3 linked regions of the Styela clava genome follow. The protein of the gene in region 2 binds, or shares a complex with, the protein of the main gene of each other region. Links are inferred from orthologs where the notes say so. Each region holds a gene or a part of one and is shown on either strand. Other genes may lie near its edges.

What was found.
Region 1: U4/U6.U5 tri-snRNP-associated protein 1-like (region 2) and U6 snRNA-associated Sm-like protein LSm5 share a complex: the UniProt entries of both Homo sapiens proteins name them as parts of the U4/U6-U5 tri-snRNP complex. The link is inferred for Styela clava from reciprocal best matches to the Homo sapiens genes SART1 and LSM5.
Region 3: U4/U6.U5 tri-snRNP-associated protein 1-like (region 2) and peptidyl-prolyl cis-trans isomerase H-like share a complex: the UniProt entries of both Homo sapiens proteins name them as parts of the U4/U6-U5 tri-snRNP complex. The link is inferred for Styela clava from reciprocal best matches to the Homo sapiens genes SART1 and PPIH.

What each region holds. Positions count from the first base shown.
Region 1 is NC_135261.1:7,858,191-7,869,035, reverse strand, and holds U6 snRNA-associated Sm-like protein LSm5, read right to left. Parts: upstream 5,539-10,845; 5' UTR 5,394-5,538; coding exon 5,366-5,393; intron 3,897-5,365; coding exon 3,801-3,896; intron 2,953-3,800; coding exon 2,852-2,952; intron 1,224-2,851; coding exon 1,191-1,223; 3' UTR 952-1,190; downstream 1-951. Other genes in the region: uncharacterized protein LOC120329407, read left to right, coding at 1-119. UniProt on the Homo sapiens protein: Plays a role in pre-mRNA splicing as component of the U4/U6-U5 tri-snRNP complex that is involved in spliceosome assembly, and as component of the precatalytic spliceosome (spliceosome B complex).
Region 2 is NC_135255.1:12,624,542-12,635,078, forward strand, and holds U4/U6.U5 tri-snRNP-associated protein 1-like, read right to left. Parts: upstream 4,447-10,537; 5' UTR 4,437-4,446; coding exon 2,091-4,436; 3' UTR 226-2,090; downstream 1-225. Other genes in the region: vacuolar protein sorting-associated protein 8 homolog, read right to left, coding at 70-120; 40S small subunit processome assembly factor 1-like, read right to left, coding at 5,562-6,266. UniProt on the Homo sapiens protein: Plays a role in mRNA splicing as a component of the U4/U6-U5 tri-snRNP, one of the building blocks of the spliceosome. May also bind to DNA.
Region 3 is NC_135258.1:4,505,139-4,516,464, reverse strand, and holds the start of peptidyl-prolyl cis-trans isomerase H-like, read right to left. Parts: upstream 4,095-11,326; 5' UTR 3,969-4,094; coding exon 3,909-3,968; intron 3,483-3,908; coding exon 3,394-3,482; intron 2,441-3,393; coding exon 2,353-2,440; intron 1,112-2,352; coding exon 1,016-1,111; intron 342-1,015; coding exon 254-341; intron 1-253. Other genes in the region: guanine nucleotide-binding protein-like 1, read right to left, coding at 4,770-6,599. UniProt on the Homo sapiens protein: PPIase that catalyzes the cis-trans isomerization of proline imidic peptide bonds in oligopeptides and may therefore assist protein folding. Participates in pre-mRNA splicing.

The sequences.
Region 1 (10,845 bases), on a different chromosome or scaffold from region 2:
GAAACATTTGGGCACAGAGATTTAAAAGCGACCCAAAAGTACAAGGAATGTTTTACGAGATGTATATTTCAATTACTTTAATGATTTTGTTGGTTCCAGCATTAGTGCTACTACTTTAACACCGCTGAACGTTCCATTGGAACAAAAAATCTTCCATTTGTTTCGATGTTAAGAAATCGAATGTCCAAGTAGAAATGCATCGCCAAATCTTTCCTTATGAAAATGTCGTTTTCATTTTATTCGGATTATATTCCAGTTACTCTTACAAACCAATTACTGCAATATTCAGAAAGCTTGACTTGTGATGTATATATTTGAGATGTGCAAAATTTAATCGTCGTACATGGTTTTTACTTGTGTTTTTGATAAATAAGCTATTGTACGCATCAAACAGTGAATTTACTGTCGCCATTTCCGACAATCTAAATATAGTATTGTTAATAACGCTATTGTCGTCAGCGTATAAAAAGCACTACCATATTCTGAAAGTATACCAGCTATCGCCATGGGGAAACTACGCCGGAACAAGAGGTATTTAATGAAGTGAGACTAAAAGTACCACACTTCAACATATATTCCATGCGACTCTCCCTCTTACGAACAATACTTTCACGACGATGTAGCATCGTGCTACGCACGAGGAATGCGCAGGTCGCCGCACCTCTGATTACCCTGTCTGAATTCACAGGATCGAATCGATTGGCGATAATTATGTGCGAGAAGGTTTCTAGACTCCTTGCCGCCGTAGGGTGATTCACTGCGCCACCCAGTTCACGCCTATGAAGCTCCCTGCCGCGATAGGGAGGTTCATGCAACCGCTGGTCGGTTACGGCTTAACGATCAAGCCGTATTATTGACTTTCCTCTCCCTGGATAAATCTGTAAATCCTATCATATCCACATCCCAAGACACCTAAATATTAGTAGTAGTAGCATTTCCTCAAAATAAATCCCCGTTTTGACACAAATTTGATGACATAGTATCAATCCCAGACAGTTTCAAACATAATCCAAGTTCTTAAAACAACCAAAGTTTGAGAGTAAGATATATAAAATAAATTAGAAATAGTCCATGCTTGACAAGGAAGCTTTTGTAGGCAGCACTGGATTGAGCCATTGACATTTGTCAGCATATGATAGCTTTTTCTAAGCTAATAGTTGAATGAAACAAGAGAATTAAAAGAGTTATCGTCACACTTCAGGCCCTTCTCCTCCTGGAACCAGCTGAGAATTTTAAATACAAGTTACATTTGGTGATATTATATCAAATTTCTTATTATAGCGTACAAACATGATGTAGCAAAAGAGGGTAGAATTGGAAACAGAGAAACGTGTGGGTACTACATATAAAATATTACACCGCTAATGCACATATGCAACAGGGCGGGGTTTCCCAAACTGGGGTCTGTGATGAATGCACAAAAGCCGAGAGTTCCCGTAAAGTCTCTTCTACGAGTTTGCTTGTCACAAATTTGTAGTCTCAAAGTCTCCGAGAATCGATAAATTATGTAGTGAAAAGCAAACACATCCATCGCATTAATGTTGTTTGTATTGTTGTGTTGTGAATGAAACATTATCATTTATCGTCGGTTTTGCACAGAAACTGATACAGCATAGGATGGGGTGCATCATCACTAAGATCCACAAATAGTGGTTCCCGGTCCAAAAAGTTTGCAAAACCCTGCAACAGGGTGTCGTCTAATTTGTTGACCACAAATCCCACCACCATGACTACAGAGTCTGGTAATATTTGTACCAGACTGCAAACTTGAGTTACCAAAGATTAATTTTGACTCGAGAATTTTGAATCCAATTCCAGGTTTTAGTAAATTTACAGTTTAGATGGCTTGGACCAGGGGTGTGCAACCTGCGGGCCGAATGCGGCCCACAAGGAAAAATTGTGCCCGCAAAACATGTTTTTAAATTAGTTTAATTTGGGTTGTGTGGGTAATTCCAATCCCCTTGCGTTGCTTAGCCTATTCCTGAGTCCAATTCATTAACTATGCATATGACGTTAATTGATAGATAGATAGTTTATTTTGAAAACTCCATAACAAACATAAATTAAAAATGGAGAATTCTGGAGGGCAAGCAAAACCTATAAAAAAGTTTAAAACATGAGAAGTATCTCATGTGCCTGCCCACCAGCACGCAAACAAAAACACAAGCCCAGTTAAATGAGGCTTGGGCCAAACTTAAACAAAATACACGATAGTATTGAACTTTCGGGCTGTTGTACTTTTAACACTTACGTTGATAATGACCAATACAATCTCATTCAAAGATAATGTGGGGAGTGGAATGTAATAAATTTGCGACGATAGTCGACGATTGCATACTCATGAAGCCATGAAAGCTTTTAAGACCAAGCCATGAAAAACTACACTGATTGCTAGATTGGGCATTGCGGAAAAGGAAAGTGGTTTAATATACAAAGAAACGCAAAACCATGGCGGCAAATTGCCCTAACAGTTAGCTCAGGCAAGGCGATCAACGCATGTCACAAGATCAATAACCAATTAATTGCCAATAATTGTTTAATAACCAATTAAACCCCATAATTTTCGTGCCTGCAACTACAAGAAAGCATATGTAAAATAACAGTGCGGCCTGCGGTTTCACTAAGTTATTTGTATCTGGCCCTTATGTACTAAAGGTTGCACACCCCTGGCTTAGACCATAAAAACTTAGGCATATGAAAACAAAATGCCCTTTTGGTTTCTGTTGGAAATTTTACTTTAATTACCATCATTATCAAAATCCAGCAACCATTCATCAACACAGACTATTGTATTGAATCACATCAAATTTGTTACATATTAAGTTAACCAAAGCAAGATGTCTACTCTTACCATTGTTATATTATTTCCATTTAATAATATTTGATCAAGTTTAGTAATTCTTCTTCCTTCAGGTGTTGATTCAAATTCAGTCACATCTTCTAAAACCATATCTGTTTTACACTAATGATAGGAAAATTTCGAATTGTATAATGTGGGAAAATATAATACTATTACCAAACTATGATAACTAAATGGAAAATAACATTCGCATACCATGCAACATCGAAAACTTTCTGTATGAAGATTAAATCTGAATCAAAAAGAGATTCCATTGATTCAGGATAGGATTACCATACTTATCCTGATGGAGAGGAATGCCGATATAATAGCTTAAATATATTGCAAATTACAGTCTCTTATCTGCTTACCAGTATATGTCGGATATGGGAATATTTAATCAGTTCTGCAGTTGTTCGTTTCAGATGCATGAACTTGTATTTACAAAAACAGCGGTTAGGGACTCCAAAGTTAATGACAAACTTACTTGACCTCATTTTATGTAGTGAAAAAACGGTTTATTCAGACTGCGAAATGATAGATAGAGCTTAGCATAGTTTCGTTATAAAAACAATATAGGCCTACTATATACAAGTATTTGCCTTTTCTTTTGTAGATGCAGTGCACATTTTGGGCATTACATACAGTATTCAGATATATACTACTGATCCATGTGCATAAGATATATAGCATGATTGAATAGCCATTTCTAAGTCTATACCAGTTGTGTTAAAATATCAAATTCTATTTGAAAAGCGTCAACCTGTGCGAAAGATTTATACTTTTTTTTTTAGTTTGACCTCCCATAATCTGTAATAGTGTAATCCTACATATAACCACACATGTTGTGAAATAATTCAGTAATTAGATTGTTTGGGTCTTGAATCAAAACCAAGATTGAAATCAATGTAAGGCATGTGTAAGAAGATGGAATTGCGTAATGTATTATTGTGAAGGATACTGACAAAGTCGTCGAAACCAAGTAAGGTTCCAACAATTTCTTTTTCACTCTTCATGATGATGTGAATCTTGGACCCAATGCATTTGTCCACGAGTTCTGAAACAAGTTAAGCTGTTTTTTGGAAGTGTTAAAATTATTGCCATCATCACTCTGATTACTGGATTATCCTACGTCTGTACGTGGGTTTGCAGATTTAAAATCTTGTGAGCATGAATATGTGCTGAAGCAGAGTTTACCGAAATGTGTGAGTTGCTGAGTTCTCCACAAAATTAACAAAATTGTGTTATAGACTCTACATAACTAAAATATGATTGAATATTTGATTTGTCTGCTGAAAGAGTTTAGTGAACACAGAAACAGGAGTGATTTTTTCAGCATTTTAAAACAAAATCAGGTAGAGATGAGGAAAAGAGTTACCGTATCTTTCACTTCTATTCAGTCTATTACATAGGCGTACATGTTTACAAACATAACCAATCACAAAATTGAGTTTAAAAGCAGCATTTTTTCCAAACAAAAAGTTTTGGAACTGCTTTGCTCAAAGATTGAAAGAATTTGTTTACTGGTTTAGAGTGGTTCATCTAATTACACTTTATTGTTTCATCAACCAAACATTCAAGAAAATAATTTTACATGCTCCATAACATTAAAAACGGTCTTACTACTTACTGAATACAGCGCGAAACACCGCAAAGAGCGCAAAACAGCGCGAAACCGCGCAAAACAGAGGGAAACAGCGCAAAACAATGGGGAAACAGCGCAAAACAGTGCGAAAGAGCGCAAAACAGAGTGAAACAGTGTTAAGCAGAAAAAAATTTTGCAATGAGTTTGGGGCACCTTGTTGGGCACCAGCAAATTAAAAACACAAACCAACGTATGTAGCCAGTAATGCTGTAATGGCAGGTCTGCCCCTGCTGGTGACACATTTTGGGTACCATAATTTAGAACATTTTCCATATGGATATGGTTGGCTTTAGGGTTAGGTAAAAAGGGACCTCCAGAAGTATGTGCACCAAGATGGCGCACAACCTGAAAATAGTATGTGTGTGTGTGTGTAGTGGATTCAGGTTGTGCGACATATTGCTGCACATACTTCTGGAGCACCAAAAAGGTAGATAAAATTTCGTATGATGACCTATAATCCGGTACATAACCTTGTAAATATACCGGAATTAGCGCCATAAAACCATGACGAGAGGCGCCGTGGTACTTTTGTGGCAGGAGGTGGTAATGACTGCGTCTTCTGTTTTGCGCTGTTTCCCTCCGTTTTGCGCTGGTTTCCTTCTGTTTCGCGCTGTTTTTCTATGTTTTGCGCTGTTTCGCGCCGTTTTGCGCTCTTTGCGGTGTTTCGCGCTGTATTCAGTAAGTAGTAAGACCCCATTAAAACGAATAACTGTCTATCTTTTGCATAATTCACATGAAGAGGCAACTTAACCGGGAGAGAGGGCATTAACCACCACGTCATTAAGCCGTCTTTCATCTTGATCGCACACCACTCTCAGACTCTCACAAATGCCGTCTAACTTAAAGTTCCAAGGAATACTTGAATAGGTAACGGTACTCACCAAGTGGCAACAGCTGCGAAGTCGTCATTCTTATCTCTAACAACAAGGCACAGCAATGTAGAAAGTATTTTCCGAAGCCTGGACAAGCAAAACGACAATAATCAACCTCTGTCTGCTGGTCTGTCTGTGAAGCTAACAACGAACCCAAAATATATCAGACTCAATGAGTGAGCTGCCGGAGCTGGAGTCATATTTTAACCAGCGAGGTGTGTAAACTTCTGACTTCCAGTCGTCGGAGTCGTAGTTCATAATACAGAAATGGGAATTTAACTAAAAGGCATTTAGTTAACTTTTAAATTTACAACTCAAATTTGAGAATCAAAGTAATGTGTCTCAAATCAGTCTCGCTTGGAGTCGGGAGCTGATTTGCAAATCGAATTTACAATCAAAGCTACAAACAAGCCTCATTTATGTATGATGTCAATTTTTTCGATATTCAAATTAATTTTGAATAGCTTCCTAACAAGTATGCATACATGAAAATATGCCATGCATGCGAACTGCATCGACTCTTCGACGCCATTTGCATTGCATTCACCGACGCTTGACTATGAAATTTTTTTCTCTTATTTTACCACCCGACGTTTAAAACGGACATTGTGGCGAACCACTTAACTAATAATAGCCGTTATGAGTCACAATTGTTTTGTTTATGTTTTTGTCACGCATGATTACTTACGTGCTTTTCTTACGATAACTTGTCATTCTGTTTTCTGTTCGCTTGTCGTTAACATTGCTTTGTTATGGATTAAACATCAACATAGTTCAAAGTCTTTTTCTTGTTAGAAAGAAGTTAGTTCGCTTCAAATGGTGACCCCGACCTCAAAAGCATACTTTTGAGAAAAGAATACGCACATAACGAAGAATATGAGTGAAGACAACAAAGTAGGCCTAACAGCGGTATCATTAAAGCTGCCGATTTTCTGGACTAAAAATCCTGCCGTTTGGTTCCACCAAGTCGAAGCGCAGTTCGCTGTTCGAAATATCACAACAGATGAAACAAAATACCACTACGTGGTTGCCGCTCTGGATGACAATACCGCTGCCAGCATTCTTAATGTTCTCAATAACCCGCCGGAAACGAACAAGTACCAAGATCTCAAAGAGAAGCTCACTACTAAATGTTCGCTAACGGATCCTGAACGAGCTGCGCGCCTTTGTTCAATGCCTGGACTAGGGGATGGAACGGCAACGGAACTTATGGACAACATGCTTGCATTGTATCCAGTAGGTAAGACACCTGATTTCTTATTTCGCCATTTGTTCGTCAGTCATCTGCCACCAGACGTCCGGTCTCAACTTACAGACATTTTAACAACCACGGGCGACGATTTTCGGAAGCTGGCAAGGAAAGCAGATGATATTTTAACTGCAAAAGGCTATGAGGTGACAAACGCTGTACAAAAAACCAGTTCATGCAAAAAACAACCATCTCATGTTTTGTCTGAAATGTGTTTTTATCACAGGAAATTCGGCAAGAAAGCCAAAAAATGTCGCCCGCCATGTTCTTTTGTGGTTTCGGAAAACGCCATAGCCGACCGTCAGTAACCTCTTTGGCGGTCGGCGATTCAAACCTTTATTACGTCACAGACAAAAACTCTGGACGCAGTTTTTTAGTTGATACGGGTGCACAAGTCAGCGTGCTGCCTGCCACCGGTCATGACCGTCGTTACGGGCGACCAGGACAAGCACTTTTGGCAGCTAATGGCACCTCAATTACGACATATGGCACACGAAAAGTGCCTTTGACTATATGCGGTAGAAATTTTACCTGGAAATTCACATTAGCCAATGTTTCACGGGCAATTATCGGGGGAGATTTTTTGCGCTCTCACGGACTTTTGGTTGACATCAGGGGCAAACGACTTATCGAGGCAAGCACATACGCTTGTATTCCAACCAGAACCATTACTGGCACCCCGCCTTGCCTTCACTACGTAGCCGAAAACGATTTTGCCAAAATTCTGAACGAATTTCCTGATTTAACGCGCCCCACATTCAGCAACCCGACCACTGCACACGGGGTAAAGCATCATATTGTTACAGAAGGCCCCCCGGTGCACGCAAAGGCTCGAAGATTGCACCCCGATAAGCTAGCCGCGGCAAAGGCAGAGTTTGATAACATGATTGAACTCGGAATCATCCGACCCTCAAATAGCCCCTGGGCGTCTGCGCTTCACATCGTACCTAAACAGGACGGCGGGTGGCGCCCATGTGGAGACTACAGACGTCTCAATGATATGACCGTGCCTGACCGCTACCCAGTCCCAAACATACAAGATTTTACGGCCCGTCTTGCGGGAAGGACAATTTTCTCTAAAGTGGATCTTGTTCGCGGTTATCATCAAATACCTATTCATGAACAAGATATCCCCAAAACTGCCATTATCACACCGTTTGGCCTATTTGAATTCCTCCGCATGCCGTTTGGGCTTAAAAACGCCGCCCAGGTATTCCAGCGTTTAATGGATACCATCTGTCGAGGTTTGCCTTTCGTATTTGTCTATCTTGACGACATCCTTATCGCCAGTACGTCTAAAGATCAACACAAAAAGGACTTGCGAAATCTTTTCCAAAGGCTAAAAAGTCACGGTATGGTTATCAATCCTGCCAAATGTAAATTCGGTTTAAGCGAATTAGAGTTCCTGGGACATACTGTTACAAAGGAGGGTGCTTTTCCTCTCCCCAATAAAGTGAAGGCGATAACTAATTTCCCTCGCCCTTCATCTGTAAAAGGCCTTCAAGAGTTTCTTGGCATGGTTAATTTCTATCATCGGTTTTTGCCCAAAGCTGCCCAAATAATGCAACCACTATTCGCAGCACTTTCCGGCCTGCCCAAGAAGTCGAAGGTTTTGCCCGAATGGACTGACAGTATGATATGTGCATTTGAAAAAACTAAGAAAGTACTGGCAAATGCAGTTATGCTTACACATCCACAACCAAACGCACCAACTGCCCTCACAGTCGACGCTTCGGACGTTGCCTTAGGAGGTGTTCTCGAGCAAAAGTTAAATGGATCTTGGAAGCCAATTGCATTTTATAGTAGACAGCTACGCAAACCCGAGACGAAATACAGTGCATTCGACAAGGAACTTTTGGCCGTTTACTTAGGAATACGACATTTTCGTTATTTTCTCGAAGCACGACCCTTCACGGTTTTTACAGATCACAAACCCCTCACTTTTGCTATGGCAAAAGTCTCTGAGCCATGGTCAGCGCGACAACAGCGTCACCTCAATTTCATATCTGAATACACAACAGATATAAAACATATTTCCGGTAAGGATAATACTGTCGCCGACGCCCTGTCGCGCGCGGTCATCAACGACATCAATGACGGCATCGATTATGAAATTATGGCCACAGATCAACTAAACGACAAGGATACACAGGCTTACCGCACTGCTATCACCGGTCTTCGGGTCGAAGATATCCCTTTTTGCAACGGCAAATTTACATTGCTGTGTGACGTATCTACGGGTAGACCACGACCTATAGTGCCTGCCAGCTGGCGCAGAAAAATTTTTGATGCGGTTCACGGGCTCTCGCATCCAGGCATACGTACCACTCGCAAACTGATCTCACAAAAATTTGTGTGGCATGGTCTCTCCAAACAAATTGGACAATGGGCCAAAACATGCCTGGAATGCCAAAAGTCTAAAATAAATCGTCATATACGGGCCCCTTTAGAAGATTTCAAAATGCCAGACAAACGTTTTGACCATATCAACATTGACTTAGTTGGTCCTTTACCACCATCACAAGGATACAATTACCTTCTTACAATAGTAGATCGTTTCACAAGGTGGCCAGAAGCCATTCCCCTCAAAGACATATCAACTATGTCTTGTGCCCGAGCTTTCCTGTCAAATTGGGTTGCCCGTTTTGGTGTTCCACTTCACATTTCTTCTGACCGAGGATCACAGTTCATTTCAGGCCTTTGGTCTGCTGTTGCCGAATTATTGGGAACAAAAATTCATCACACTACAGCCTACCACCCACAGGCAAATGGTTTGGTAGAACGTTTTCATCGAACAATGAAATCTGCCATTAAGGCACGACTCAATGATTCAAACTGGTTGGACGTGCTTCCATGGGTTTTATTGGGAATCCGCACAGCTCCGAAAGAAGATCTTACGGCATCGTCAGCTGAGCTTGTTTATGGCGCTCCCCTCACTGTCCCCGGTGATTTCATATCAGACTCTAAAGACAATAGCTGCCCGACCACAAATCTTCGGCTTCTCAGAGAAAGAGTAGGATCATTGGCTCCAATTCCTACGTCGCACCATGGTCCTTTCAGAGCAAGAATGCCAGCCGCACTCAATCAAGCCAAGTTCGTGTTTATTCGTCGTGACGCACACCGATCTCCTTTACAAAGACCTTATGAAGGACCATTCGAAGTTTTGCAACATGGGAATAAAACTTTCAAAGTACAGATTGGAAACCGAAGCGAAACTATTTCTGTTGACAGGTTAAAGCCAGCTCATCTTGATCTCGACCATCCTGTTTCTGTATCCATTCCTAAACCAAGAGGACGTCCTCCAATCCCTAAAACAACAACGAACAATCAGCGTTCTACAGACGATCAACCTACAACCGGTTATGATTACAGAACCAAATTTGGTAGAAAAACTCGTAAACCCACTAGATTTTTATAACTCATTCCGTCTGGGGGGGTAGTGTGGCGAACCACTTAACTAATAATAGCCGTTATGAGTCACAATTGTTTTGTTTATGTTTTTGTCACGCATGATTACTTACGTGCTTTTCTTACGATAACTTGTCATTCTGTTTTCTGTTCGCTTGTCGTTAACATTGCTTTGTTATGGATTAAACATCAACATAGTTCAAAGTCTTTTTCTTGTTAGAAAGAAGTTAGTTCGCTTCAACATAATTTAAATAAAAGATGTTGCAAAAAGAAGTCTTCAGATGCATTCACGCAAGTAAAATATACTTTTCATTTTCACACACTGTCATAATTAGACGAATTACTTAGTAAACGGAAAACGAATTGTAACAAACATTATTTGCCCTCCCATAGTAACATTTTTTCCAAACTTAATACCAGATTAATAATTATAATGCCAAACGGTTTATTGCTGGAGATTAATTTCTAAATTGAGAAGTCTGAATTATCATTAATAGAATGCATAAAAAGCTGGGATATATCTACTTATTTCACCTGTTACACATTCAGACAAACTAAAGTCCAGATTATTTCAATTATCAGATGTCAGTATTAAGGCAGTATGATACTGAAATAGCAGTTATTTTCCATGGGAAATATATTGCTTATCAAGGGTGAATGATAGTTTTTATTATTATTATTCATATATAGCCATTGGATATAGACAATGATATACATATATATACGAAGTCGTGAATACTGCGGCAACGATAGTCTACTGTGAAAAATTGCAATACCTGTACTCAACGACTAACATACCCCTGTACTACAGCGTTTTGACTTTCGTGTCCAT
Region 2 (10,537 bases):
ATAACTGTAAAAGTAAACACTATATACAGAGAATATCTGTTAAATATAAAAGGACTTCATCAAACTCACCTCTTCTAAATCTTCCAGAATATTCCCATTACTAGTTTCAAGCTTGTCCATCGTGCTACAATCAGATCATTTCAGCTATGGAGCAACATTTTATTTTAACTATCAAATAATAAATAATAAAAAAAGATCGAGCGTAATAAAGGTACAAACGTAGGATCTAAAAAAAGGACAACTAGATTGCGAAAACTTATATCACAAAGTAAAATACATGTATAATGCATGTTATCATACCAAGATGTTATGGCAAAGTCAATTGTAATACACCACATCACACTCAATTTTCCTTGTTTTCCTGAAGCTATTCATAATAAATCTAAGATCAGAACCAGATAAGTTACTGCTTCAGATATCAATGAAAATAGGCAGTAATTTTACAAGCAAAAACCGCCGCAGTAAAACCAAAGTACTAATGGACTTTTAGGATTTTCTTTTCACTGTGGATCAGGGTCATCTTTTGGTCTAGGATTCAAATATGTACTTAAAACAAACCAGCTTATGTACAGTTTTTAAGCAAAAGTAATTGATCAAGAACTAATTTCTGTTACAGGCTGATAGACATACGACAATCATGTACGGTATATATAGCCACAGTAAAAACAAGATAGCCTAAGTCAAATTTTTTTAGAGATGGGCTTTTTTGATTTTTTATAACAAGCACCTGTTGTTTTTTGGATTCAATAGCTCGGCATTTGATGAGTGGAATATTGTGATACTATCCGACTTTCGAGGGTAGAAATAATGCCAATATGTCCTAATTCCAGTGTTGTTTTGAACCCTAAAAGATTTTAAAACTTTGTCCAAAATGGGGGGTAGAATATATACATATAGTGGTGTGTTTTAGGCGTCCCCAAACACACAGTCTTAGGTGCCATATGTAATATGATGTTTTGTAAAGAATATCAGATTCCTATTTTACCACATTAATTACAGAACTGAGAATAACAAAATTGTGATTTTCTCAAAATGTGACATAAACTAACTTGGTTTTACTGCGTCATGGTGTAATAAGTAGAGCTGGGAATAGTGACCCGTTAACTACTATTAGATGGTTAATGGTTACAAGTAATTTTAAACATCAACAGACATCCAAAGGAAGTAAAATTAATTCGCATGTATCAGTATTAAAATTCCAAATAATTAATGTATATGAGTGACCAAGCAGATCGTCTAGTTAATAGATGGACATTTCTGATCCATATACAATTTTCAACATTCCAAACTAATATTTATGGCAAACAGTTTTATAATCATAACATAATATAATAAGTGATATTTCACCCAATTTTCAAAGGTAAAAGTGTTTTCATAATAACTCCCAGCCCTGGTAATGAGTCTTCTTATGTGCTATCAAACTAGATTGAGATACCTGTACAGTTAGTACTTCTGGTATTACTTTCCTATGAAATTTGAAAAATTTACAACAAATATCTATACAACATTTCTAAAATAACTTATCAGTGTCTATTCACCATCACCAAATAATAATCTTTATAACCCATACAAAATTCAATCTTGTTGATTGAGGCGAGAAATTTAGAACAGAATAGCAGGTTTAAAAATAATTAAAATATTATCATATTATGTCCGATAACAACCACTGACAAAAGAATATCCTAATGCAAAACACCCAACATAAGCAGCGGATCACATGGTAATTTTCATTTTTAACATATAAATCAAGTCAAGTCAGGGCAGTTTCTAGCAGGGAGTACATTTCTAATGTTATCAAAACAAGAGTTGTTGTGGGCATGTTAACAATAATTTAGGCATTTAAAATGATATGGCCCAAAATAACATCAAAAGATTTTCATAATATGATCTGCCAATCAACTGCTACAAAGAAGGCATAAGATAATCAGAATGACAAAGTTTATGGTACCCCTGCAAGTGTTTTGTAATAGGTATTGGAAGCTGCAATGATTTACGGCTCAACAGAATGTCCCGACAACAACACAAAAATATTGATTTGCATCGATGAAAATTGATTTCATTTTTCATATGTCTCACAATTATAATACTAATCATTTCTTCAGCCCTCCACCACCAGCTTGCAATGTTTTACCAGCTCCACTTAGAACAATATAAGGACTTGCTTCGCTTTGTAATTTTTCTTTCATCATTGCTACTGTGTTAAGTGGTGTATCAGTCGAACTCATTTTCAACATCATATCTTCTTCTCCTTTCTTTTTTTGTCGTTTTTCGAGTTTCATTTTACCCGATCCTTTGCCGTGAAACCTGTGAGATAATTTTCTGAAAGCTTCTTTTGGATTCATTAATCGACCTCCTTCATCAACATACTCGATAGTTACTTTAGGTTTATAATTTTTCTTTTCTTCAAAATCCATTACAATTCCACGATCGTAGCGATTACTACGGTCTTTCGAGTATTTTTCGTGAGCGTATTTATCCAAATGATCAACTGCGTTTTTGTCTTCAATGGAATAGTTTGCAGAAAGCAGGTCAATATTTTTACTAGTTATTGTGACTGAGCTTTTTGGTTTTTCTTCCATCAGGTAACCCTTTCTCGTGGCTAGTTTTAGTGCACCGGCTAAGCCGCCTACAGCAAGAGGCTCGGCTTCAATAGGTGCATGTCTATCATCGACAGGTTCTGCCTGTGTAACTGGCTTAACTTTGGCTTTATCGTTCACAAAATTCCATCCTGACGTAACTTCTTCTTCTTCTTCATCTTCCACGTCCATATCAACGCTGTCGTCCATGGAAGTCTCTTCCATAGGCACTTCTTTAATAACATTCAAATCTGAGGCGGTTCCGAGCTGACGACAAAATTCATCAGTTGAATTTAAAGATATAGTTGTAGAATAATTGGCCATTGGATTTTCAAATGAAACTTTATTTAAAAGGTCTAAATGTTCGACGACTTTACTGGCACCGACATCCTCAGTAACCATGTTTGATTTAACCTGTTTTGCCCGTCTTGCTTTGTCCAATGCTTTTTGAAGTTCATTACTGGCATCATCCTCGTCAAAAATGACATTTTTCTTCGAATTCATTAAAGTTGTAGATGTTATACTTGTGTCATCCACTTTTGCAGATTCAATACCTTCATCCCATCCAGGTATATTTCCTCGTTGATTTCGACTTCTAGAACCAAAATCAGATGATGTTGAACTACCCGGTAGAGGTTGTAGATCGTCTGGTTTTAGATCACGTTTTCTTACTTTTCGCACTTTCTTTTTTCGTTTTTTGAACTTTGTCATTTCCTCTTCAGTCAAATATTCAGATGCAATTTTGAGTTGAGGGAGTGCTAAGCTGACTCCTTTAGCTTTAATTTCATTTTTCATCATCATTTTTTGTTGTTCCCAAGTCGTATCAACTTTTCCATAATTACCGATAGTAAATTTCTCTTGCTTGATTCCTTCAATTTCTTCATCATATTTCGAAAGCATAGACTTTTGTTTAAAAAATCCCATTTCATCAACCTCTTCCTCATCATAAGCTTTGTATCCAGAACCTTTGGACTTCACGTCCAAATTTCGTTTTGCTTTTTCAGTATCAACCAAGTTTACACCAACAAGAACATCATCCTTATCTTCTTCAAGTATATTTTTATCTTCGAGAGTCAAAATTTCTGATCTTCCTTCTTTGAACATTTCTAAGGAGTGTTTTACAGTAATGCCTTGCAAATCACGAGATGTGTATGAGTCTTTCTTTACATCGGCAAATTCATTGTCTATTAAACCACCAATACCAAATTCTGCATCCATTTTAGCCATTTCTTGTTCTCGTTTTTCAGCCACCTTTTTTTGTTTTTCCATTTTTCTACTTCTTTCTACCCAAGATACCGCATCATTTTCATCTTCATTTTCTTCTCCCAAAGTCTTGATTTTCCCCATTTTTTTGTTTAAGTTTCTTTTTTCTTTAATGGCTCGTAGTTTTTCTCTAATATCATCCTGTTTTTTCTTTTCCCACAAATCTTCAGCAGGAGCATGAACAAATTCTTCTTTCTTTGATTCGGTTGCATTACCGGAAGATCCACCGACGTCGAGAGGTTTGAGTCCCAGTTTTAACCTCAACTTATTTGTTTCTTCAATACTGAGTGAGTCACCTTCGCCATTAGCTGATGTTGGAGTGGGTTCAGCATGATGTTGTCTTGACTTACCATTACGTTCAGATTCCAACTTTTGGGGGGATTCAGAATCTCGATCTCGTTCACTTTGTTTCTTGTGTTTTTTCTTATGTTTTTTTTGTTTAGAATATGATTTTTCTGTTTCTACATCGTCATGACGTCTTCTTTTTTTTTCTTCTGGACTATGACTTTCATCTCTCTCTTCATCATCATATGCAGGACTTGAACGCTTGTGCTTTCGATGTTTATGGTCTTTCTTATGCTTTTTAGATGATCCCATCGTATTTATTATAATTAAGAATTAACCTGTAAATATTAAAGTAACAGTTCGTTTATTCAATTAAGGCTAGGCCACATATGGATAGTAAATCAAAAATGTAATACATACATCAATGACGTACCAAATTCAACAGTATTACAATGCATTTTTTTTTAATATGCCCAACAAAGTTTTTAACATTCGCATGAAATTGTTATATTCGGCAACAGGTCTCAAATCGATGATATCATTTTGTTGGGCGAAGTTTCCATCAAAATGAATGAATATTCAATTTCAATATTATTGATATACTTTAAAATTGTGAAATAACCATTCACAAAACTTGCCGTCTCGTTCCATGCATTAATTTATTTCCTTTTTTTATACTTGAAAATCTGAGAATTTATTGACATTACAACAAATAGATGCTAGTTCAACTCATTTGGTCCAAAGTTAAACATGATAATATACAGTGTTTTTGTATGAAACCAATACAAATGAAAATCATTGGAATAACATTAATCGTTCCACGTTGATTCATTTTTGTATACTACACTTGTAAAAGAGTATAATTATATGTTAGTTCACTGATCAACTACACATTCCTCAAACTTGCAAAAGTATCAATAGAAATGCAGTATGGTACAGTTCTCCAATTTCAAGAATAACCCCAACATTAGAAGACATCAATTATACCAGTGAATGCAAACCGCTCCTTTATGAGACAGTCTGGGCCTCCATATCGCCAAACTGGCACTGTGCAAATAAACTGAAGGATACACAATCTGAAAATGTCACCATTGACCATTGGATTCCCAAAAATAATACAATTTACCAAAAAAAAAAAATTTTACTGTAGGATTCAAGAGTTTTTAGCAAAAAAATGTTGACAGAAATATTTTGGTCACATGATGGCAGACACACGTAAAATTATTATCGAGACAAGCATGGCGCAAATTACCGCCGTACCAGACACCCTCGTTACAGAGACAAATAGAGTGTTAGTTTTATTGAACCAAATATAGACAGATCTTGGCATCAGGAGACTGTGCTCTATTGGAAATGACTTTCATGATCTATATCTGAGAATTGGTTTAAAATGTAATGCATCAAGTCAATGGGAAATATCAAAATAAGCAGAATTTATTATCGGCGCCTGTTTACAGATTTAATATCTTTTGATGAAAGTTTTAAAACTCCATCCTTATATTTTCCAATTTGCGGATTCAAACTTTTATCGCCTTGTTTCCAGAATTTCGGCATGCCACTCGTCTTTTCTTTATATTCGGTTCTATTGTTCGACAATATATTATTGCCAGAACTTGTATCTTGTTTCAATCTTTTTTGTTCTTCCATGAGAATTTTATAATTAACATATTTCCGTTTTGTCGGTTTTGCTCCAAGTTTTATTGCTCTTTTTCTTTCATGTTCTCTCTGTTCTTCTTTCGAAAATGCCTTCATTCCAAACGAGCCAACGCTGAATTTTAATTTTTCTAAAACTTCCGAAGAATTTAGTCTTTCATTTGTATATTTAGACTTTGGAATATTGAACTGTGAGTCTGTACCAACAATAGTTGGTGATGCTTTTTTTATTTCCGGTTCTTCATTTTTAGTTTTTTTACTTTTAAATATGACAATTTCAACTTCCTTTTTTAATTTATTATCATTTTCCTCTTTCGTCATCACCGTGGATGGAATTATGGGGGTATTGGGTTGTGTTTCTTTAGGCTGTGTTTCACCTAAAAATTCTGAAGCATATTTATCCAAAATACTTAAAATTTTATCATTATCTGCTTCCTTCATGGACACTTTGTCCTTTATTTCCATCTTATGGCGCCTACGTTTAGTCATTTTCGCGATTCAAGCCTGAAAAATAAGAGAAACAGTACCGTAAATGATATGAAATTAGATGATACATTTTTGTTATAAATTGATTTCAAAATTTGTCTGTATGTCACTTGTGCACATAAATTTGTGTGTTTCCATGCCACTGGAGCCCTTTAAAAATCGAAATTTACACCACTGCGACATACAGGTACCCTACTGCCCTCTTGAAGCGTTGCACTAGAAAGTACCGTAGTCCTGTAGTTGAGCTGTCCGCCTCCCGTGCAGAGCACTGTACTGAGCAGCGGGCCCCCATACTGAAGTATGTATTCAGCTATCCCTAGTCCTTTTACACCATTCGTTTTCAAACTGGGGTCCGCGGTCGCTTAGGGGTCCGTGAAGCGATTTTAGGGAGACCGCGAGACAGCGTTAATCTCGGCACAGAAGCACTTTGATCTGAAGTAAAGTTTTGATGTCTTGCTTTTACAGTGTTTCTACAAAGCATGACACGCTCTAACAAAGACATTATTACTGTGTTACGTAACAAATGTTGGGGAAAGTGGCAAGTACCGTAAATCGGAGTGTGTGGTTTATGGAAGGCGCGCGCATCTGATTAAAAATAAGACCCGCGGCCCGCCATAAAAAATAAATTTAGATATAACAATTCATATGTGAAATTTGGTTTTGCTGTGATAGTTCTGGAGGAAAAAAAGACCATAGTTGGACCGTCCAATCCCGATGTCACTAAAACTGCTTCATTCCATTTGCAACAACTTACGAATGTGCGGGCATCTTTTTCTATGTTACTCACTATTAAAACAAGATATGAGAGTTGCATTATCCAAAACAGAACCCAAGGTAGACTAACTAGTGGGAGCTGAGCAGGCGCACACATCTCATTGAACACTCTTAATGTCATTCAATAGATGAATGCTTGATATACTGCGTTGTTATAATTTCTTTGGTGGACCACGAGTCATCAGAAAAATTGAAAGGGAACCGTTATGCATTATTTTTCAAAAAGTTCGAGAACCACTGTTCTACACAATCCGTAGCCTGGTGGTAGGTACCTACTACAGCTACAATCGTGACAATCAATCAGCCGTTCACCTACACAGTGTCACCGTCTACATTAGGTTGTGGTAACGTGTATTTGAGCTTGAGACAAAACAATAAAATTTACAACATCACATTTTAGGATTTAGTTTCGCTCACGATGAACTGTCATTCACACAAAAAACTGAAATATATTTATCTGCACCAAAGTGACTAGCCTATAGTCATTTTGATTTGCACTCCTGCTTGTCAAAAAAACGGAGTCATGCTGCTCGGAGTCCTGAATCCCTCTGTGATCAGCACCGGTGTGCATTTGGTGATGAAATATAAAAAAAATATTCACGAAAATTGACCCACGCCTCTCAGTCCAGATCAGTAGTGAAAGCAATTTAGTGTTTTTCAGTTTATGTTGAAAATGTTGATTCTGACCGCCATGTATCTGTTTATGGAAATCTGAACTGAGACACCGAGGGTTGTGAAATTTCTGTTCCGGTTTCAACTCCATTAATGGCAAAAAATATCCGATCCCGAATCCACATATTGTGTTTTATTATGTAACAATTATTCCATATATACATATGTTAACTTCGTCATGGAGGGTTTTTATTTTGTCAAATTTTATATACGATAAAAATATTATTAACTGTGAAAAAAGTATTGCAACTAAAAATGGTAAACTGTTAATCCGCATGATGAAGAGGTGGAAATTTACAAAAAGCTCGTTTTTTAAGTGCAATGATATTTACGTAATATTGTGTTTATATAAATGTGATGTTTTTATTATAGTAAAAAAATCCACAGCCCTGGATATAGAAAATAGACAAAAATCGATGTAAAAGATCAAGCTGAGTACGTAAAACTTTAACAGCTTATGTTTCGTGAGTATACACAAGTGGATACATAAAAGTCATTTCGTTTTGTAGTGACTTTATGAGTGTGGGTTGTGCTATGCAGTGGTTCTAAACATTTGCAAGCCTTCCGAACACCTGGGCTATTCTGCAAGCCAGTATGTTCCCCAGCTTTTCATTTTAGGGGGGGGGGGGTGTTTCGAAGTTTAGGGGGTGGAAAATAATTTGCTATTGCGATGAAACTATTTGTACTTTCAAAAAATTGGTATGTATTTAAGAAACAATGTACATGAGGGGGCTCCCAAGTTGATTGACGGCGAGCCAAAATACACAGCAGAATAAAAATGTAGGGCCAGAAAAGGCGAGCGAAAAGTGCGCGACGACACGGCTGGGGTTCACGGCTGAAAATTTTGAGAAATAGGCACCAAAATAGGTTCTAAGCTTGATTTTAGATACATCTAGCATCGCAGTTTGTTATGTAATGAAATTAATAATTATAATATTTAGCTGATAGAATTCCCGAGGAATAAATAACAAGCCCGGCTTTCAGCAAGTAATTTACGACTTATAGTGACTAATGAAGTTACCTGCTCATCTAGCATATGGCATCGTATGAATGGCTACTTATGGCTTGTTTTGTTACACATTTCACATTTTTTGAACATGATCGTTTGACTTTTGTACGAATCAAGCGATGAATTAAATTTCGAAATACGCGCGTCAACTGATCATAATGGCGCATAATGTTGTATTCCTTCAGAACTGAAATTTTAGGGGGTGTGTTCACCCCCTATAGGGGGGGGGGGTGTTCACTGCTGCATTCTTCTGCCGAACCTCATATTATTGAACATTTCAATTAGCGCAATCGGAAACTTATAATAAGTAACCTAATTTTTTGTTATATATCAGTGGTTCCTACCCTAGAGGATTTTAGCACTCGTGACCTCTTGTTCACCATCTCAAAAATACGAGCATGCGTTGCGCCGTAAATATATACTACTGCGGTTGCGCACATTCTAGATAGGCCATCTCGATTTACTTTGATAAAAGCAAAGTAATTGTCGTTCTATTTTCGTTTCTTGGGAATATTAGGAATTTAGAAATATTTTCTACGTCTACCTTGCAGTCATGTGAAACTTTCGTTATATGTAGACAAGGTTCGACCGGTATCTTTAGGTCAAATGGCCTGCCGACCTACTACAAAGCTTAGAATTAGGATAGGATTTACATATTTATCTCGGGGGAGAGAAAAGCCGATAAGACGGCTTATCCATATGGCGAACCACGGCCTCTCGTCCGGTTACCATTCCAAGTCGGGTATGGGATTAATTTTACTGTATTGTTTGTTTTCGGAAGCATGGACTTGGTGGTGGAGGAAGCCGTAACCGACCAGCGGTTACGTGAACCACCCAACGACAGGAAGGAGTCCAGCAATCCTCTTGCACATAACCATCCTTACATGGGATTCGAACCTGCGAACCCACGCAGAGTAATTAGATGTGCGGTGGCGAGCGTATTCTTAACGCTTAGCCCGCTGAGCCACACCACCGCGCCGCGCCAATTTGCGGAGCAAAGTGGCATTCATAATGTTATTTTGATTTGTAAATCCCAAGTCCCATTATAACCCAACAATTCATGCACGAGAAAGTGAAAACACCATGTGAAATGAAATGAAACTAGTTAGACCGGAAGCATAAAGTATGCAGAGAAAATTGCATAAAAATCAATTTTGACACCGGTATCGTAGCCCCTTCCAACTGTTCTGTGGCAGTCAATAATAGTCATTGTTGCGTCTAATGATTTTTTTCAGTGCGAATTCTGCAACGAAATGTTCTTTGCCACAAATTTATCACTTGCTGAAGTGTTTCGTTAGGATTTTGAATGGTTGTTCCCTATGACTCAGCGCATACCGTAACTGCGCGTCTTCAACTATCCGTTTACAAGTATCTAGTTAAAACGTGTAAAATCTTGGTTGTGTATTATATTTTTCAAATAAAACGATGACGACAAAATCAATACGAAGATGCGATAAAACAGTAAAATAACTTAACTCAAAACGAGGCAGGAAGCTTGTTTATTACGGTTGAGTTGTTTGCGGTCTGAAGGTTAAGCGTCGAGTACCCAAATATCGGAACATAATTATCAAATCGTGGCAAATACGTCGCGCGACCAATCAACGCTTGAGCGCTCGTCATAGAGAAGTACATAAAAATCTTACGATACCTGTGGCGATATTATATATGATTTTTTGATGAAGTCTGCTGACATGAAAAGTTGTAACCGCCAATGACAGAGCTACTAAAACTTAAATCTGAGCGAGTTATTTAAACGTGTAAGTTTGTATATCTGATATGAACTATTGATATTTTTTCATAATTGGAAGGCTGGGTAACA
Region 3 (11,326 bases), on a different chromosome or scaffold from region 2:
ATTGATACATTATCTAGTAATACTTGCAACTCATACTCTGGCTTTCGAATAGTAAACAACTATCACCAACTATAATACAATAATATCAAAATAGGTAGATAGTGTTTAGTGAAGGCACGCCAAAACAAAGTAAAGTCTCCTTCACTAAAACGTTTGAACACTTTGATGGGAAGAAATCTCACCCCGAATGGGAAACGCTGCTATGATCATAAAAAACAACAATGATTATTTAAAAAAAACTTCCTATACTCACCAAATACTACATGCTTTTTGTCAAGGAACTCACAGTTCGCACAAGTAATAAAGAACTGACATCCATTTGTATTAGGTCCGCTGTTGGCCTGATCAAGCAAATGAAAGTGCATAAATAAGATTTCGCTTAGAACCAGCATAAAGTTTAGAACCAGCATAAAGCACATATTTTTAGAAAGTTGAAAACCGAACGGATGATACTTTTTATAATAAAAATGAAGCAGTGATACATCTCTTGAATAGAAGATAGATTTATTTCCTCATTGCATTGCATTTTTGGCGCAATTGAACCCTTTGCACTTAGCATCAACTTTTCTGCGTTTTGTTGCCATTTGTCTGATTATAATTGAATTATAGGCTCATTAAACAGGTAGTTGTGAATTTTACAATTGTTTGATTGTAATATAATTTAGTCTATACACGTCTCACAATGAATTGTGTAACGTAAAAAATATAATCGTCAAAATAGCTGTTTTGTTACTATAATTCAGTGAAGCGCCGCGGGCCGGATTATGTTACTCGTAGGTTGTCGACCCCTAGTTTAGGGAAATCACTCTTTTGAAAGTGGTGTTATGTGAAAACTAATGTGTTCTTGAACCCCTGTTTGCAAGAAATATACACGTATACTCGTTTAGCGACTTCCGCTATTGACTAACTCAAACCACCACCCGACAAAGCACAAAACATGTTAAGCAAATCGCATGAGTAATCATACACCACGAAAATCCTTTCTTTTTATTATGTGGATGATATTGAAACTCACCATTGATAGCAATCCTGGTCCTGTATGCTTTTCTTTAAAATTTTCATCTGCAAATTTGATGCCATTATATATGCTTGTGAGGCCTGTCCCATCTCCCTGGAAATATGGATTGGACATTAATGGTTATCAAGGAGGAAAACAAAGTTGATGTGAGGACCAAAGCCTGCAATCTTGGATGTGAGGATGGTCTTTGTCCTGTAGAATTTACTCAATGCAAAGATATGCTCATCAACTCAAAAGAAAAATATTTTCTGAACATTTTTGAGGACCAAATATCTGAAATATCAAATAACAGGAAAAAATATTGAGGAAATATACAATTTCAGCAGGTGGTAGAACAGGGGTGCCCAACCTATGGCGCATGCGGCAAACATGGCGCATTGCATGATTAGAGGTGGCGCATTGCATCTTTAACCCTTTTCATGCCAAAATTGTTAATTGCACTTGGCTTCTCGACGCCAAGTCGTTTTTTTGCGATTTACATGGTGACTTTTGATTGTACCTAAAATCTATTCTCCTTACTCCACGTCGCCCACTTAAGGCTTGTTGGAATTAGAAACAACAGGCGATTATCGACGTTAGCTTTTGGACGGACTTTATGACATTCATTCTAGACTTTTAGCAAAAATTAGTAAAATTTACTATTTTTTCCCTACTGAAGTAAAAAGTTCAGAACTTCTGGAAAAATAGAAAATCGTCATTTATCAGCTTGAAACATGGATTTTCCTTTGCCCAGACTTCCCAAATATCTCCCAATAACCATTGAACAACCAGTTGAATTGCCCAAGCCTAAAAAATTTATTATAAATCAACCCACAACAATGCTGAAAATGCCCCCTAAATACCACCTTTTTCATACAAACTTCAAAAGACCGTTGTCAACAAAAGCGAAGCGTAAAATCGCTTGCTGTGACGTAAGTACTAATCTCGAAGAAGCCTGGAGTAAAATCACGCAACGCTAGGCCAAACAGCTGATTAGCAGAGGCCAATTAGAATCGAGGGTAGAGTAGAGTAGATATTGATACTAAAGGCCTGTTGCAAGAAGCGGACATTAGGCGTGGGAATACAAGAGATTTACGGCGCATCTGAAACATTATGTTTAAAACGTGGCGCATGGTATGTGAAAGGTTGGCCACCCCTGTGGTAGACAGTAGTGATATCCATAACTTTGATAAGACATTAGTCTCGTTTACCTCTTAGTAAATGAGCATAATCATTGACTTCTGGTCGTTCTCCACGACCATGTTACTCACAATAATTGGGTTTTAAGTGACTACATTAAACATAAATTCGGCCACATAAATTTATCCAAAAAACTAACTAAAATGCATTCCCACCTTTACAAAATCACCTCCCTGAACCATGAAATCTTTAATAATTCGATGAAAAGTTGCTCCTTTGTAACCGATAGGAATCCCATCTACTCTAAATAGAATTAGAAGTAATGTGATTTACATAAATTATGAAAAGATAATAAATAATAGAGTAAAAACTGTATCTCGAAAATTACAACTTCAAATAGAAATGCAACAAAACCCTTTCCACAAATGCATCTTATTGAAAATTAGGGTTCTATTTTTACTAATATTGCGGCACGAAATGGCATTACATCAGCCCAGTCAGTTTCTTTTCTGTCGTAGTCGGTGCTCACTGCTAAGCTAAGGCTTTACTGGTGCACTAAAGGTACCGGTTTACTAATGCAAACTGTTAGGTCGTATTCGATTTGCAACTTTGATTTGAAGCTTTTGAATAATTATATCAGGGTGGTCCAAGGTTGTTGGCTCCGCGGGCCACAATATTATTTTTGCATTGTTCGCGGGCCACAATAGTGCCAAAAATAGGTAAACAGTGCAATACAAAATAAACACTTTTATTGTGCAAACACATAGTTATCAGGCATAGCCATTCTTAGCTAATAGAATCTGCAGTTGATTTTTAGTTTTCTATGATGCATATATTGTTAGCATATATTCCCGACCAAAAAGTTAGAAAGCCAGATAACAATTTAGACTGCCAAGCACGTCACTCAACTTCGCTAGTTTCCCCTGCTAGCCATAACACTATTTAATTCAGTGACATCAGTGATGACAATATGTCAAAAGATTTTTCTGATTAATTTTATGACGAAACAACACAAAATGCGATTTTTTGATTACTCTCCGAATGTGACACGGGCCACAGATAATGAAGCGGCGGACTACATGTGGCCTGCGGGCCTGGGTTTGGACCACCCTGAATTAGATAATGATTTCAGTGGGAGTCATTGGACCTTTGTGTCCATCACTGTCCACATTCTTGAGTATTGTAATTGATTTCAAATCGAATCAAAATTTGATTTGTGTTGAATAACCTTGCTTTCTTTTATTACTTGGACTTACTTGTATTCTCCTGTACAAAATTGTCTAAAATTTTCCGCAGTATTTGGCACGACATCTTTGAATAACTCCATTTTCATTCGACCTACATCCTGGAAAAGATGATAGAATAGTCTTAAAAACAATATATAATAGGACTACATACTTTTCTTGAAAGCTCTGAAAATGGCACTAGACCAGTGGGGCGCACCCCACAAGGGGACGTGGACAATTTTTTGAGGAGGCGTAAAGCTAATTATAATAAAAATAGTTGTTAGATTTGATCTCGCCTGTTATTGTTAGCTAGGTATTTTTGAGGTGGGCACGATACTTGACAAATTCTAGAAAGGGGGCGCGAGTTATAAAAGTTTAAGAACCCCTGCACCAGACAATGGCCTTTTCTATGGACAAAAACATGCTAAACACACACTATATAAAACTGGTAATATTACTAGACCAGGGTTTATCAAGCTGGGACTGTTAAAAGCAAAACTAGATTTTTTATAAAAGAGGTAGAGTCTATTTGTATTTTCACTCACCTGGCCACTAATAGAAATATCAAAAAACACAATGGGATTGCCTGGAGTCCTCACACTCATTTTGGGATACAATCCGCCAATACAAATATATAAATAGTAATATTAACTGAAATTAATAAAACATACCGATGATAAAAATGATCGAATATTGATGATTACCAATGATGAGTATCAATTTTATATGTTGAATTACCAAATACTTTTGACATCCACAGAAAAAAGTATAAATCTAGGACGGGGATTGTGCAACCTTTAATAACACAGAAGAGCCAGATACAAATAACTGGGTGAAACCGTGGACCGCACCTTTATTTAACATAGGCTTTCTAGTAGTTGTAGGCACAAAAAGTTCGGTTTTTAATCCTATGAAATACGTTGTTCGCTTCGCACAAACTACCTGTTAGGGCATTACAATGTCATAGGCACAGATAATAAATTGGAATCAGGTATAGACTTCCATCGCAAAGGAATTGGAATTACTAGAATATGATAAGATAGATATACAGTATTATCCATTCAACAACTTGATGCGAGGTTAAACACCAATTTAAGGCAAAAGGGATTACAATAGGCAGGACAACTCCAATAAAACAGTCACAATAGCATGCAAATAATCTCATATATAGCATGAATAAATTATACAATGAACTTATGAAATTAAGTACTGATACTGAAACCAAATCTTGGTGATATCTGGCTATCATTTTAAATAATCAAAATGACAAAAAAAAATGAGTAATTTAATCACCGTACACCATAAAAGTCACATAAAATTTGACAAGTCATCGCCCAATTCCATATGCACACACTTATAACATAAAAATGCTATTTTTAGTCTTTTATAGTGGAAATATTTAAACATCAGTCCTCTCCTAGTAAAGCAAACTTATTTTGCACAGAGAACCCTTTACCACCGTCCCCATGTTCATGAGAAGATTCGGACTCCTCGCCACTGCTTGAATCTTGAGTATCGTGCTCAGAACTGGCTATTTCTGGGTGAGAAAACATTTGATGAAAACTTAATATATCGCCAACACTGCCAGGATCTGAGACCAGACTCAAAAGTTTCAACGTTTCAGAATTAGCCATCCAAGATTTTTCTTCCTTGACATATCCTGGGGGCAACATGAACAAACATAACCTTCCATCAACAGCCATTCTTAAAATATTATTCGCTGCACGATACACATCTGTACGCCGTCCTTTCGCTGTATAAAACCTTCGTTTTTCCGCCCATCCTTCACAAATATCCCAAGCTGTCCACTCTGATTCACCATTAGGGTGGGTGATGCCTAATAGCTTTACAATCGGAATTCTTGATGCTAAATACCCCACAGGAGTATAAGGTTCTTGTACTTGCGCAATTGGGTAAATTCCACTCAAAATTTGCATTTGTTTTTGCACAAGTGATGGAAATACAAGACCAGGGCAATCACATAGCATTACGTCACGAGTTAAAAAGTACGTTTGGAAATATTTTGTGTGTCCTGGCGTTACTGAAGTACTCACAACTTTCTTTCCAATAAGGCCGTTCATAAGCGATGATTTTCCGACATTAGGATGACCCACAAACCCAAGAGTAAGTCTGCCATTTTTAAACAACTCTTTACTTTCTGGACCTTGTTCAGAGGTTTGATGTTCTTCTTCAATATTCATCTCTGGTTCAAGGTCACAATTTAGACCTTCAAGGTCATTCAATATTTTCTGTTCCCAGCTCTCAAGATTAACTTTGTCTCCGCAAATTTTTTTGCAAACTTGTAGCAGATCTTGCGGACCTATTTGCGTGGTATAAACACGTTTTCCAACAGGTCGTTTTTTACTAATTCGCTTTTCCGCAGCGTCTCCTCGTAAATTTTTTGGGAACGAAGTAAAAGTTATAACATGCAGCTCAGGAAATTTCTTTTCAAAGTATTTTTTCCAGGCAATCACAACAGGAGCTGGAACCAGATCGATTTTATTTAAAACCAGTATTAAAGGTTTTTTGACAACATGAATGGCGAAGTTGTACAATGCGGGAGAAAAATGGAGCACTGGATGCCTTACATCAGCGACCATTGCTATGACATCGCTCATCTCAATCACACGCCAAAGTTGCCGCCACGTTTCCAAATTGTGTTCAAAATAACTGAGATTTTTGTCTTCAAACTTGGAGTACAGATTGTCAAGATATGTTGAAAAATATTTTTCCTCACGTTGCTCTAATAATTGTTTTGAATCACGATAATCCCAATGTGGCCGCTGAGGCATGTCCAATTCCGAACCAGGTTGATAAACCTCTTCTATACTCATTTCCATTTTTTCCGGTGGAATCGGAATGAGCAATTCCGTCTGTGATTGCAATTTACGCTTGTCGACTTCATCCCTCGATTCTCGAAGAAAATTCAGTCGATACCTGTCTCTCGGATTCGTACTTTTCGTCGCTTTACCGTGAATATTCCGTCCAGTTTCAAATGCATGGGGATTCCCATCTCCAGAAGAACAGTCGGAATCGTACTTCTCAATTTGATCTTGTAATTTCCATGCTTCTTTGTTTTCTGATCGGGTCAATGACCCTTCACCTCTATGTTTTTTTTCCTGAAGTTGTTTCTTTTTTTGTTTTCCACTAAATGGTTTCTTTTTCGGCATTGAAAGGTAGACTACAAGACTGCGATAAAAAGATATAGTTAGCCAGTTATTTGTTTTCGGAAGCATGGACCTGATGGTGGAGAAAGCCATAACCGACCAGCGGTTACGTGAACCACCCTAAGGCAGCGAAGAGATAGAGAAGATAAATTATTACGAACTTCGTCATGGTGCAAATAATTACAATACACAAGCCAAACACAGTGCGGAATATCAGGAAAGTTACCAAATCTTCAAACAAGGTTTAAATAATGAGACATAATAATTATTGGGATAATTGAGGTGGTGGAAATGTTGAACTATTGAATATGGCGTGGGGGCGTTGCTCATCGTGCTAAGCATTTGGAATATGCTCGCCACCGCACCTCTGATTACTCTGTGTGTGTTCGCAGGTTCAAATGGTAATGTGCGAGAGGATTAGACTACTGGACTCTTAGCCGCCGTAGGGTGGTTCATGTAACCGCTGGTCGGTTACAACTTCAGAACTTCCTCCACCATCAAGTCCATGCTTCCGAAAACAAATACTGAAATAACTAGGCTAATTCTAGAATTCCACACCCGACATGGAATGGTAACCGGACGAGAGGCTGTGGTTTACCATACAACTCCAAAATTGAAAATTTTGACATCAAAATTTGGCTTTTTGTTACAAAATGAAAATATAAAAAATAACAGTGCTTTCTCAGTAGACTAGGTACCGGTACCGGTGTTTAATCAGTTTGCAGCAATATTTTGCAGATTATTTCAATAAAAAGTTAGAGTACAGGAGTTTCGAAATCGAAAATTTTTTCCCAACTTTCTGAAAACAGTTTTTCAAGGTTTGGCCCTTTTGGGTTAATGCCAATGAATTGTATTTGTACTACATGGGGAATATCAGCCTGTGGCCCAGAATATATCATGGTATAGCCTAATTGAATAAACATCAGAATATTTACTGGTACCGGTAACAAAACCACAGACATCAGGGCTTGATTTGTAGAGGAGGGCTGGTAGCATAAAAGTCATATTGGGGATGGCAAAATAGGGATGGCGAAATACGGTCGAAAGGTGGCAGATTAGGGATGGCGAAATAGGGACGAAAAGCCAAATTGGGGATGGCAAAATGCGGTCGAAGCGTGGCAGATTAGGGATGGCGAAATACGGTCGAATGGTGGCAGATTAGGGATGGCAAAATGCGGTCGAAGCGTGGTGGCAGATTAGGGCTGGCAAAATGCGGTCGAAGCGTGGTGGCAGATTAGGGATGGCGAAATACGGTCGAAGCGTGGCAGATTAGGGATGGCAAAATGCGGTCGAAGCGTGGTGGCAGATTAGGGATGCCGAAATACGGTCGAAGCGTGGCAGGTTAGGGATGGCAAAATACGGTCGAAGCGTGGCAGATTAGGGATGGCGAAATGCGGACGAAGCGTGTCAAATTGGGGGTGGCGAAATAGGGTCGATTCCTGTCAGGTTAGAGATGATGAAATATGGTCGATGCGTGTCAGATTAAGGAGGGCGAAATAGGGCAGTGGGTTGACGGGTGTCATGTTAAGGATGGCGAAATGCGTGTCAGATTTGGAAACGAACATTGTCAAATTTAAGGAACTAATCTGATCAGTGTTTCACATTTTAAAATTCATTTAAAAGGTATTGTCCGATTTTACATCGTGTCTTTATTTTATGATTAATTTTAATGTTTTATATATTATTACATTTTTCTCATCAAGTCTTGAACATTTTTTTTATATTTTTCTGATTAATAATTTTAATACAATCTTTTAATGTTTGATATATTATTACGTTTCTCTCATCAAGTTTTGGGTACTCCTGAAGTATGCGCACCAAGATGTCGCACAACCTGAACCCTAACCTGGTACACAACCTGAGTTCAGGTTGTGCGCCAGCTTGTTGCGCATATTTCAAGAGGTCTGCATTGGCTGGCATAGCATTGTGGATCGTGCCATCATTTATGAGGTCATATGTTTTATCTCTTTCGTCATGGTATATCAATTTTTCCCTGGTATTATTGTCCCTACAATTTTTTACGCCACCCCGAAGCCTGCGATATTTCTATTCCAAATACTGTTATTAAACAATTCTTTTCAATTACAAATATTTTAAATTGCTCAAGTATATATGTAGAAGAATCCTGTTTTGCTTTAAAATATTTTGGCATAATTCACGATCACACTGCATGAAGAGTCCATTCTCCGTGTTTCGTTAATTTCAATTCTCAAAATTTCTTTCGAAGTTAATTGGTTTTATAATTTGAATATAACCTTTTGATGTAAAGATGTGTTCGATATATTATGCTATAAAATGATTTTTATGATATTGGGTGAATTCCTATCTAGAGGAGAGTCTTTGAATAGAAATATACGTTGTAGTATTACTCACTTTTGTATAATATTATTCATGAAAACGCGACAAACTATTTGAACTGCGTAAAAATGAAAATGCGACTTTTGTATAACACTGGCAAAGAATCTACAAAAGGCAAGGTAATTAAACATAGGGATTTTGGTATAAACAGTTCAAAACCAACTAATAGAAGATTTCAACACAAAATGTTGAAAACCACCAAATTCATCCATTTTATCGTTTTTCAGAAAGAAAATGTCGAAGAATAGTTTGACTTTTTAGGAATCTTCTTGCATGCTTTACTTCTTGAGGAACATAATTACCATTACTTGGTACAGAATCCAACCCATGTCTTACTGGATAGCGAAGGAGCAACTTATAAATTAATGTGTTACGTGTAACGCAAGTCTTGTTCTCTGTTGCAATTGAATTCCAAGGAAAGACGCATTTGCGACGAATTTTTCGTGCTGTTTGGAATAGGGTGGGTTAGACCTTGGTGCTATATATATCCGCATTGTTTAATATTTAATGGTGCTTATAACTGGCGTAGTTTCGTGCACCGTTATTTCGCGTTCAAATGCGTTTGATGAGGGATTAATTTTGAGCTAGTAATACGTTCAATATTCATATCTAATGATTGTAATATTTGTTCTGGTGAGTATAAGATACAAAAAGCCTTTCTAGATTTTCAATTGAAATCAAATGAAATTATACTTTAAAAAACTTATAGGCGAAATGTTTTGAAAACATTCTGCGCTGAGCAGGGTCTCTATAATTGTACGGACATTTAGCGAAATAAAGCCAGTGAAATACTTCCCTGAATATTCGACATTTACACTGGAGTCAAATTACTACTAATCTGCAACTGAAAATTTTCAACCTAATTGTTTTTGAACTTTACAAAACAATCTCAAACATTTGATGGTCAGAAAACGCTAATGTTTCATGTAGTAGTCAGGGAACACGCAATTTGATGGGTTAGTCTAGCAGGAATGGCGAACCTTATTAAAGAATTGGGTCGAAAATTATTGTTGTATTGTAGAAAAGAAGACTGTGGTTCGTAGACAGGGTTGTCCAAAACGAATCAAATATTCGAATACATTTTCGGCTGATTTTTGAATAATATATAGTCTCTTTTCATCGTAAACACGGTTTTTCGTTTTTGCGGGAATCTTCAAACGATTTTACACATTCATTTCCATTACGTCAAGAAATTGAAGATTATTCAATGTCGTAATTGTTATGATACCCAATAAATTGTCGCAAGTCGGAAAACAAGTCGATTTATTGGAGAAAATAATCAATACTTTTTCCCGCTTCATGGCAAATAATTTTGATAATGTTATTTGAAAGTTTCGACTTTTTACTGGGATGATTTTCTGTTGTGCAAATTATTCATATCCATGACCGATACCAGCATATAAAATTATTATGCGTTATTAATTTAGTTTTGTTTAACGTAACTTATGGTTGCGACGACAATTTGTGAGCATAAAATGTGTAGTGAACTGCCCGATATTATTCATTTTTGATTCCTATTTTTGGATTTACTGAATAATAAAAGTATTATTACTCTGAAATCTACTGGAATTTGTGGACCTAAAATGTGTGGCAAGGTGCCCGAATATAATTAATTTCTGATTCGTATTCACAAAATAATATTACTCAAAAATACACTACACGGACTTAAAATGTGTGGTAAAGTGCCCGAATATAATTAATTTTTTATTCGTATCTACAAAATAATAAAAACATTATTACTCCAAAATACAACGGCAATTTGTGGGCTTAAAATGTGTGGTAAAGTGCCCGAATATAATGAATTGCTGATTCGTATTTTCGTATTCACAAAATAATAAAAGTATTATTACTCCAAAATACAACGGCATTTTGTGGGCTTAAAATGTGTGGTAAAGTGCCCGAATATAATTAATTGCTGATTCGTATTTTCGTATTCACAAAATAATAAAAGTATTATTACTCCAAAATACAACGGCAATTTGTGGGCTTAAAATGTGTGGTAAAGTGCCCGAATATAATTAATTGCTGATTCGTATTTTCGTATTCACAAAATAATAAAAGTATTATTACTCCAAAATACAACGGCAATTTGTGGGCTTAAAATGTGTGGTAAAGCGCCTGAATATAATTAATTTTTGATTCGTATTTTCAGACTCTTGGAAGAATTGTCCCAAGTCGGAAAAATAATTTATACTTTATCCCGCTTTTTGGCAAATAATTTGAATAATGGTTGGTATTTCAAAGTATGAACTTTTTACCAGGATGATTTTGTGTTGCGCCAAATATTCAAATCCATGACCGATACCACTATTTCAAATGCCTTGCCATATTAATTTAAATCTGTTAACGTAACTAACTCATGATTACGTCGACTTATAAAAGAATAAAAGCGTTACTATCCTAAAATATATATCGCAGTAATCTGTGAATATGAAATG